Linked DNA regions of Ovis aries. The main gene of each other region encodes a partner of the protein of the gene in region 2 in a complex. Links are inferred from orthologs where the notes say so. Each region holds a gene or a part of one and is shown on either strand. Other genes may lie near its edges. The genes, in order: SPG7, VDAC1 and PPIF.

Region 1 (4,279 bases), on a different chromosome or scaffold from region 2:
GGAAACTCTGAAGAGAAAAGAAGGTCACAGAGCCTCAATCACACGGACGCCACAGCACAACTGGCAGTGCAAACTCACCCGATACAAAATTTTTCCTAAAAGCGCCAAGATTCATTTATGTAATATTTACACTGCACTGAAATATGAACCAACAATCTGACCATTATTTCAAAGTTTTACCATAACATCAAAAGAAAAAAAAAAGTTCCAAATGTCAACAGCAAGAAAGCAAGTCAAAGAAACGCTGAAATGGAGGTGCGGAACACTGGCTGCTATTCTGTGCCCCAGGACTCCTGCAGGACACAAGCAGCAAAGGCTTCACTGGCTGTCCAGAACTTTTGCTCCCAACATCTCCAGACAACCGTTCCTTGTGGAACATTCCCATGAAGTCCAGTTTCCCACTTGAGTGTATTTTATGTTATGGTCAATGGTCCAACCTAATTTTTTCTATCTCAGTGGTAGCAATTTCTCCATTTTTATCGACTTATTTATTTTAAGGGCTTCCCTGGTGGCTCAGATGGCAAAGAGTCTGGCCACAATTCAGGAGACCAGGGTTTGATTGCTGGCTCAGGAAGATTTCCAGGAGAAGGGAATGGCTACCCATTCCAGTATTCTTGCCTAGAGAATTCCAGGGGCAGAGGAGTCTAGCGGACCATAGTCCATGAGGTCCCAAAGACTGGGACATGACTGAGTGACTAACACACTTAATATACATACATTTAAGTTCTTTCCCTTAGTTCACCCCTGGTTGGCTGCTATTATGAAGAAAAGTAACTCCTTACCAAAGGAGTATGCTACATATAATTTCCTTTTAGCAACAGGTTAAAAATTCCTAGTACATACAATTATTATCCAGTTTAATTAATACTACTATACTTGGTTCAGTGATGGCCAGGAGGCATATAAGGGAGAACCACAGAGAGGTAGACTGGGCACTATAAACGTGGAACAGTGTGTCAGGCACAGCACACACAAAAGTCATTCTTCAAAGTCAACCCTAAACGCTGTTTGTTTAAACCAGATTATGTTATTACTGTTCTAGTTGTTAGTGAGATAATCTGTTACGTATCCACCAAGTATGTGTGAATTGCCTACTTCAGTCCTTATTTATTTTCACAGAATAATCAAGTCTGACTAGAATTAATGAATTATGATTTTCCTTCTCAATAGAACTTAAAACAAAAACAAGTGTAATCTATCCTTTCAGTTCAGTTCAGTCGCTCAGTCGTGTCTGACTCTGCCACACCATGGACTGCAGCACGCCAGGCCTCCCTGTCCATCACCAACTCCCAAAGTTTACTCAAACTTATGTCCATTGAGTCAGTGATGCCATCCAACCATTTCATTCTCTGTCATCCCCTTCTCTTCCTGTCTGCAGTCTTGCCCAGCATCAGGGTCTTTTCCAATGAGTCAGTTCTTTGTATCAGGTGGCCCAAGTATTGGAGTTCAGCTTCAGCATCAGTCCTTCCAATGAATATCAAGACTGATTCCTTTTAGGATGGACTGGTTGGATCCCCTTGCGGTCCAAGGGACTCTCAAGAGTCTTCTCCAACACCACAGTTCAAAAGCATCAATTCTTCCACACTCAGCTTTCTTTATAATCCAACTCTCACATCCAAACATCACTACTGGAAAAACCATACCCTTGATTAGATGGACCTTCGTTGGCAAAGTAATATCTCTGCTTTTTAAAATGCTGTCTAGGTTGGTCATAACTTTTCTTCCAAAGAGTAAGCGTCTTTTAATTTCATGGCTGCAGTCATCATCTGCAGTGATTTTGGAGGCCCCCCCCCAAAATAAAATCTGCCACTGTTTCCCCATCTATTGCCATGAAGTGATGGAACCGGATGCCATGATCTATAGTTGTCCTCAGACTCAGAAAGGGTGTAGAATAGGATTATGATATGAAATTGGTTCTCAACTTATGGTAAAATACAATAATACATTACAACCTAAAATGCGAGGGTTGGGGTCCTAAGAGAGGGCTAAAAAAATCAGTGAAAAAAGCATTTAGGGTCTGCTTCCAGAGTGAAATGTTAACATTAACAGGGCCTGGAACACAGCCTTCACACAGAGGGTCAGTGAATTTGTGTCCATAACATGTCAAGCTACATGATAAGAATAAAATACAGTTACAGTGCTCACATGAAAAACCGCTCAGAGCAATTGGAAGGCACTAGAATTCATCCTGGAGTGATCTGATCTATATGACTGCAAATAATCCTCTGCTAGATATCAGTGAAACTCTTAGTCGATTCAATTTCAAAACACCAAGAAAACGGGCAAAAAATATCAATGTACGAAACAAGTGCTGTTGTTTAGTCGCTAAATCCTTGTGACTCTTTTGCGACCCCATGCGACCCCGTCAGGCTCTTCTGTCCATGGGATTTCCCAGGCAAGAATACTACAGTGGGTTGCCAGTTCCTTCTCCAGAGATCTTACCCACCCAGGGTACCATCCTGCATTGGCAGGCTGGTTCTTTACCACTGAGCCACCAGGGAAGAACGAAACAAGTGCTAGAGAAGTCCAACTGTGCGGCCTCGCTCCCGGTTTCTCCCTCGGGCTGCCCGCCGGCCTCGCCGCCCGCCTCTCCTCCGGGTTGCAGGTAGGAGCTGCCTCTCGGAAGACGAAGCCGAAGCGGCGGAGAGCATCTTCCACATTACCATTCCAAACGCCGCTGCCGGAGGCCCGTACATTACCTGCAGGGCTCGGCCACCAGGCCCGACGAGGCCCATCGGAGGCCTGTGGACGACATACGGCCACCTCCACTTGGCCCCGGAGGAGCAGCCTGGGTTCCAGCCCGAGTAGGGGCACCGCAGCCTCCCCGGCCCCGGTCCCGGCCCCGGGCGGAGAGCGCGCAGCAGCAGCCGCGCGGCCGCCATGTTGACCCGGAAGCTGCGCCTGCGCTACTGGGGAGGGAGGCGGGGGTCGGGGGGTGGGGTGTCTCCGCGGGGCGCCTGCGCGGTCGGGCCTCTTCCAGTGAGGCCTGTCAAGCCTTGCTACTCCGCGATCGGGTTCCGTGACCGAGCGATCCGCTGCAACTCTAATCCCACTGGGATTCTTTGGCGGGTTTGAACTGCCACTTTGTACTGCGAGTACAAGCGCTGCGAGTAGAACTGCAGCCTGGTGGGCCCCGAGTCGGGGCATCAGACGCCGCGCTAGGTCGCGGCTCCCGGGAGGACTTGGCCCAGCGGGTCCAGGGGCTGCGGAGGGAGCCCGGGAGCCCGAAGGGAGCAGACGTGCGTAGATGGTGGGGCCCGCCTGAGGCCCTGACCCCGACTTCGGGCCCGAATCCTGACCCCCAACTCCAGCCTCAGATCCAGACTCTGAGTCCGACTCCCACCTAGACCCGGGCCCCTGACCCCTGACAGTCTTGGCGCGAGGAGAATGCTGCGGAGGGGAGAGTTTCGCTCTCCCGGGCTCTAGCTGCAGAGCCTGCCCCGCTGGTGCCCCAAGGGCCCTGTATACCGAGAGGAAAAGGAAAGGGCTTAGGGTAAGAGCAAGTACTTCAGGGTAGCTGAGCCAGCTCCCAGGCGTGAGCGGCCGGCAGTCTTGTCCTACAGATGCTTAATTTTGAAGAGGTAACCGTCGCCTCCACTATTCTTTTCTCCTGAAGACAGGCCGACCCCCTCTGGAAGTCATGCCTAGCTCTGGAGACCAGGATCATGGCCTAGGAGACTGTAGTCCACTCACTCCATCCCTGGGAGAAGGGGAGGAGTCTGTGGTTTTATCCCTGGCGGACCCCAGGCTCCCTTAGGTCTGGTGCTGGAGTGCTTAGAGTACTTAGCCCTGAGACTGCTGACTGTACGGTGACTTAAGTTTGTTTCTGTGTTTTTCTGTATTCCCCAAATTCCTAAGGTCATTAGGCAATAACCGTTCTTACTGAGTGCTAGCTGGGGCTTGGCTCTGTAGCAGGCATTCTTTTAATCCTCACAAATGTGAGAAGTAGATACTTTTACATCTGTTTTACAGATAAGGAAACAGACTCGGCACTTTAAAGTGACTTCTCCGAGGTCACAGCTAAGAACTGATGCACAGAGTTTCAGAGCTGGTCTGACTGGTTTCAGGGCCTATGCTCTCCACCCTATGGCTTTGTGTGTTACAGCAGTAACATGTATGATGTAAAAGTCCTGAAGCTCAGAAGGTTTAGGGACATTGTTTTAAATGCAGAGTTTTGATTATTGGTCCTCGGCTCCAGCAGCCAGGTTCTTGTGTGTGGCGAGGGGCTGACCCTGACCTGCACATCTGGACTGCTTCCCTTTCTCACTTTCTCTTTTCA
Region 2 (3,651 bases):
GTATAAAAATAGTTAAATTTCCAAATAAAAAAACTTTTTGGTTATGTATATATTACTGCAAGTCCTAGAGTCGTCTCTGCAAACTCCCCAAAGGCAGTGAGCAAACCCTTTACAAATTCCAAAGTGTGCCACCTCAGGGCAGCAAGCAAAGTCCTAAACAGCAAATTCAAGCATGTGGGCACATCCTCCAGCCCTTGTGCTATCAGTGTCTTTCTGGATAACTTCTCCCATCACGGTGCCTGGGGGGAAGCAGACAAGCAGGAAGGCCATGCTCCTACAGGAGAAACTACAGCAGAGATGAGAACAAGGTAAATTCAGCTCCTGGCCAATAATCTTCAGACCATCCATAATCAAGTTATAAAAAGACTATAATCTAGAGGCAGGATCCCAATGTGCCCAGTCCTTGTGGTCACCCTGCACAGGGTCTGAACTCGGGAGCGTCTCCCTCTAATAAATATTCATTGGAAGAAGAAAAAGGAAGGAGAGAGAGAAGAAAATAACATCAAATGGCAAAAAATGGAATTCAGAATGCCACTGAACCACGCACCTAAAAGATAGTTGAGGAAGTAAATTTTATGTGCATTTTACCATAATTTTAAAACTAAATAAGAAATGAAATTCAATACATGCCCTTGAGGCTTATCATCAGTCTGCAAAACAACCTTCTCAGACCTAAAGGACCCAACTGCTGAGTAGAAAAAAACAAGAGTGTGTTCTGGAAGAGAACAACTCCCTCAGTCACTGTGAAAAGCTCCAGGAGCTGAGGCAGACCAACACATCCTCTTGCCTCCCGTGCTGTGCTGTGCTTCGTCACTAAATCATGTCCGACTCTTTGCAATCTCATGGACTGCAGCCCACCAGGCTTCTCTGTCCATGATATTCTCCAGACGAGAATACTGGAATAGGCTGCCATTTTCCTCCTGCAGAGGATCTTCCTGACCCAGGGATCAAACCTGCATCTTCTGTGTCTCGTGCACTGCAGCACTGATGGCTCATTACCTTCCCTGATGGAAGACCGAGGTCCTCAATAACCAGCAAGCCTAATCTGCCTGTGGCTGGAGGGCCTGAAGCAGAAATGTGCAGCCTCAGGAGCCACCTTGCAATTAAAGCCCACACACTCTCAGTGTCCCTAAGTAGGAAGCTGGGGAAAGGGCTCTCCAGCCTGAAAAAAATAAGGCTAGCAACAGCAACCCATTAGCCCCTGCTTCCAAACACCGCCCTACAGCCTTGGCCACTTAACATTACCAGCAGCCTCACTCACAAGGAATGGAGCATCACTGGACCAGAAATCCTGCAGCCTCCTCAGCTGAGGCCAGTAAAACAATAACAAACAGCACAGAATGAACCTCACCATAAAACACTGCTAAGTGTCCTTAAGGAGAAAACAGATGAAATTCTTACCCAGTGTTTGGTGAGAAGGATGAATCGAAGGTCAGCTTCAGGCCACGTGCAAGCTGAACAGAAAAGAAATTCACCAACAGGGTTAGTCACAAGACAGGCCAGCAGACGTCACTTGGTAAAACTGCCTCTTTCCACAGATGACCATTACCTGATCTTCCACAGTAATCTCTGTGCCTAGTGTGTTGTCAGTGTTCCATTTCTCTGTAAACGTCAGGCCATATTCAGTCCATCTGTACTTGGTTTCCAGGCTGCCCGTCACTTTGGTGGTCTCGGTGTTGGCTGAACCTGAGCTCGTAAATTCCTTTAAAGAAGACAGTCACAGCCTGCATGCCAGCACTTCATTCTGCATCACTCCACCCCTAAATGGACTGCACTTTCCTTTATGCAAAAGGTGAGACCCTGAACGTCTGGGTGCAAAAGCTCCATCTATAATTCAATTAGATATTTAAAGTGTCAAAAAGGCTTCCCCGGTGGCTCAGTGGTAAAGAATCCGCCTGCCAATATAGGAGATGCGAATTCTATCCCTGGGTTGGAAAGATTCCCTGGAGAAGGAAATGGCAACCTATTCTGGTATTCTTGCCTAGGAAATTCCAAGGACAGAGGAGCTTGGTGGGCTACAGTCCATGGGGTCGCAAAGAGTTGGACACGACTTTGCAACTAAACAACTATTTAAAGATGGAATCCGCTAACTAAAGGAATCTTACGGAGAATTCTATATCAAGAGACAGCTTCCTTCCTCCCCTGCAACTCTTCAGTCTGGACAGGAAGGCATCATGTCCTCTTTCCATCCTGTCTCCAGGCTCACACAGAGAAAAGGCTTTGAGCTAAAGCAGACATTGCAGTAATTCTACCCAAAACTTCTTCCTTCCAACAATTACTACATGCACAATCTAAAAGATACTACTAATTTTTTTATTAAATAATCATGTGGTATGGAACACAGGTCAATATTTGAAATAAGATACATAAGGAAAAATAAATCGGAGGCCTGCCTCATATTCCTATGAGTATTAATAGGTGGTGAATTGGGGACCTAGTGGCTTGGTTCCCCTGGACCACCCATTCCACAGAAGAGGCAATAAATGTGACAACCACAAGTTGCCACAATCAGAAAAGTCCCTTTGCTTGCCACTCAGATGGAAGTTATTTATTATTTACTGATCTACAATAAATATCCATACTCCGTGTGGGCCAGACAACTTACCAATCCATTCTCGGATTTTGTTTTCAGATCAAGTTTTATTAAGCCAAATCCTAAAGAAAGAACATGGTCACTGTTAATAGGTTAAATAACTCAAGAGCAGCATCTCTGCCTCCCTTAGGAAATCTTAAAAATGCCATGAGTGCAGAGGGCACCAGTCTCCACTGCTGCCTGCCTCTGTGGGTGGAGCTTGGTTGCCATGGAGACTGGTTGCCACGGAACAGTGGCAGAGGGAACAGGCACAGCCCCACCTGCAGCCCCAGCGGAGTCTGAGAAAAAGGTGTGTGACAGCATGAGCACCAGCCTAAGGAAAAGCTAAATTTAGAAGCCGCAGTCCACCGCAGCGGCACCCAGACCTGCTCCCGCCTGGGAGAGGAAACAAGAAGGTCCACTAGTCTGAGCAATTCGCTCGCCGACCTGAACTGGGTACGCAACCAAAACTGCCTGACTAGCCATAGAAGGCTTATCTCTTTCCCCTGACATGAAGGTTCTAAGAGCTGACTGACCCAGCTCTCTCCAACTGTGACGGGCAGAATACCAAACAAGCGGACCCAGTCTCTGAGCTGAAGGGCCACTCCATGCAACACTCACCATAGCCCTTGGTGAAGACATCCCTGGCAGATTTGCCAAGATCTGCATACGTGGGAGGCACAGCCATCTTCTGCTATAATAAAAGAATCACCATAATAAACACTCTGGAAATTACAGATATTCATTTTCCACCAATAAAAATCATCAGCACTGACTTCCAGGTACCTTTTTCCCCCACGTGTGGACAAAGATACCTGTGCAGTCTCCTGCTGCTTCTGCGGCCAGAGGTGGAAACACCCAGTAGGTTTTTATTGACAGCAGACCAGTCTGACTTTAGAGACCTCTTCTCTTAGGTATCCCCAGGATTAAGCACAGGCCCAGAATATGGCAGGAGTCAGTCAGTATTTGCTAAATGAATTGATTGTCAAAGACACACTCCCATGAGCCAGCTACTTTACTGAACTGCAGGACTCTTGCCAATGAAACATTATCTTCTTACAAAATATTGACTGCTAGGA
Region 3 (2,389 bases), on a different chromosome or scaffold from region 2:
GCAGGCAGGGCCAGCAACAACCTGCCCACTCCAACATCCGTGTCCCTTCTGGCTCAGAGGCTACAGACCACTAGTATCCGCCACCTCCTGGGTCTCCCTAAAGTCCTTGGAAATGGGCTTTATTAAGTTTTAGCTCCAGGCCAGCTGTTGTCCCCTCACCCCGCTGAGATGCCTCAGGGTGAGGACATAGGGGACTCTGGGAAGCGAAAACTGATTAGGTAGTGGGAAACTGACCTGGGAAGACATCCCTAAAATACAAGGGCAATGGGAAAGAGGGTTCCAGCAGGGCTGGTGGCTGCAACAGGCTGGTGCTAATGCCTGATGAGAAATCCGGTATGATATCCAAATGTTGTCTACTGCAGCATTTTCCAAGGTGCAGCCCAAAGTTAAATAAGCTGGGAAACGGCAGGTTAAACCGAGTGAGCAAGCTTCTGCCACAAGCCATCCCGAGGCCTGATAAGTTCTGCAGCATCTCCCCAATGTATTTGGTAAGAGAATTCTTTCCTGTGTGTACGTGTGCATGCTCAGAACACTGAGAAATTCCAGCTACAGCAACAATGGGAAGCCTGATAAAAGACAAGAGTTGCAAAATAACCCAAATTCTTCCTCAATGCTTTTGGGGCCTTTCTCCTCTTACACACTCAGCCGGGTGAGGGCTACTGCCCCAGAGCAGAGAGTTTGGCCTCAAACTATCCTCCCGCTCCAGCTCAAGGCCACCCCTGCTACCCTGAGGGCCTGGACCAGGAGCTGGCAACTCACCAGTCTGTCTTTATGGTGCAAATGAAGAACTGGGAGCCGTTGGTGTTGGGGCCTGCATTGGCCATGGACAGAACACCTGCGAAAACAAGCGGGATGAGCAGGCTGCCCCAGGAGGCATCTCACCTGGGAACTGTTCAAGAGCAGATGATGCACACCACAGGAAGGATGCTTGCGGCTGAAGATACTTGGGGCTCAGAAAAGGAGAGCCAAGCCCAGAGCACACAGCCACCCAGGGCCTGTCCGCCTTGATGACACAGGAGGGAAGGGCCTCCTGGAGGCTCTCAGTGGTAGAGCAGGGGCAGGACCTCCAGCCCTGAACTCTAGCTTTTTCCACATTTCACGTTGGGTCCTAAAGGTAACATAAAGCTAGGGCTTTGCTTAACGGCTCTCAGAGCATGGTGGTCAAAGAAAGATTTGTTTTTGAAACTGAGAGCTCAGGATGAAAAAGCCTCTGGGACAATCCAGTAAGCCCACCCATCACCCTGAAGGAGGGAGGATGTGTCCCTAGATGTGGAGCCATCCGGTTGCAGCCTGCAGGCCTGCTGGGGTGGCAGCGCCAGGCTCACAGCTCAGGGCACATGCCCAGGTGGGGACTGACAGCCTTACTCACCCGGCCCCTCGTGCTTCAGCTTGAAGTTCTCGTCAGGAAAGCGGCTTCCATAGATGGACTTTCCCCCCGTGCCGTTGTGGTTGGTGAAGTCACCAGCCTGCGAACACGGAGCGCTAGCTGAGTGTCGCCACTAGAGCTGGCAGAGGGGTGCTATTCCCATGCTGGGACACAGCGCCCAGCCCCCCAGGGCCTACCCAGCTGGGAGCCCTCAGCCAAAGGGGTCAGAAAACACCCAGTGATAGAAGGGCTAATATAATGCTAAGGAACGTAAGCAACAACAAAATAAAGGTTTAATACTTTCTGCCCCAATAACTACCCTGGTTTCCGAATGATTCATTTTTGTCTGAGTGAGATTTTAAATGATCCTTAAAAATTCTCAGCCATTTCGAGCTGCTTCTTAAGAGACCTAGAATTTTCTACCCACAACTCTTGAAGGGTAAACAAGGAGGAGGCCAGGAGTCCCTGCTCCCCAGTGTGGTCTGCGGGTAGCTGGCACAGAGGCAGGTCCCTCTGCTGAGCCCCAGTTCCTGTCCCAGCATCTCCCTTTCACCCGGCCTAGGACAAAGTCCACCCAGGGCTGGTGGTCTTCCTCACGGCTTGCCCAAGGCTTCCACAAGGAGCCACAGACAGAAGAGCCCAGGGTCTGCCAGCCCCAGGCCCCAGCCCCCATCATATTGCTCTTTTCCTGAGATGACCTCCTCGGGTAACAGGGATGACCTGACTAGCCCTGCTTTTGAAGCATCCACAAATGCCAATAAGGTGTCCCCAGAGAGGACCAGGCCTCCCCGTGCCTGGTCCCACCATCCCATGCCTCCAAGAGCCCACCAGCTTTGGAGTCCCTGCCCTTGCCTACTGTGGTAAGAGTAAGATCCTAGCCCAGCTTGGACATCCGCTTCGGCTTCTGCTCAATCTACAGCCTCAGGCAGAGCTGGGGGCCTCTGCAGCTGAAAGCCACGGGCTGTGGCCAGGCCTGTCCCACAGCCACAACCCCCTCCAGTCGCTGCATTCCTCATGTTCAAC

Evidence for each region.
Region 1: VDAC1 (region 2) and SPG7 share a complex: the UniProt entries of both Homo sapiens proteins name them as parts of the mitochondrial permeability transition pore complex. The link is inferred for Ovis aries from reciprocal best matches to the Homo sapiens genes VDAC1 and SPG7.
Region 3: VDAC1 (region 2) and PPIF share a complex: the UniProt entries of both Homo sapiens proteins name them as parts of the mitochondrial permeability transition pore complex. The link is inferred for Ovis aries from reciprocal best matches to the Homo sapiens genes VDAC1 and PPIF.

What each region holds. Positions count from the first base shown.
Region 1 is NC_056067.1:14,010,093-14,014,371, reverse strand, and holds the start of SPG7 (paraplegin), read right to left. Parts: upstream 2,912-4,279; 5' UTR 2,883-2,911; coding exon 2,700-2,882; intron 8-2,699; coding exon 1-7. UniProt on the Homo sapiens protein: Catalytic component of the m-AAA protease, a protease that plays a key role in proteostasis of inner mitochondrial membrane proteins, and which is essential for axonal and neuron development.
Region 2 is NC_056058.1:43,312,659-43,316,309, forward strand, and holds part of VDAC1 (voltage-dependent anion-selective channel protein 1), read right to left. Parts: intron 3,267-3,651; exon of another isoform or gene 3,264-3,266; 5' UTR 3,261-3,263; coding exon 3,194-3,260; intron 2,656-3,193; coding exon 2,606-2,655; intron 1,703-2,605; coding exon 1,550-1,702; intron 1,455-1,549; coding exon 1,402-1,454; intron 1-1,401. UniProt on the Homo sapiens protein: Non-selective voltage-gated ion channel that mediates the transport of anions and cations through the mitochondrion outer membrane and plasma membrane.
Region 3 is NC_056078.1:34,158,160-34,160,548, reverse strand, and holds part of PPIF (peptidyl-prolyl cis-trans isomerase F, mitochondrial), read right to left. Parts: intron 1,467-2,389; coding exon 1,370-1,466; intron 836-1,369; coding exon 760-835; intron 1-759. UniProt on the Homo sapiens protein: PPIase that catalyzes the cis-trans isomerization of proline imidic peptide bonds in oligopeptides and may therefore assist protein folding. Involved in regulation of the mitochondrial permeability transition pore (mPTP).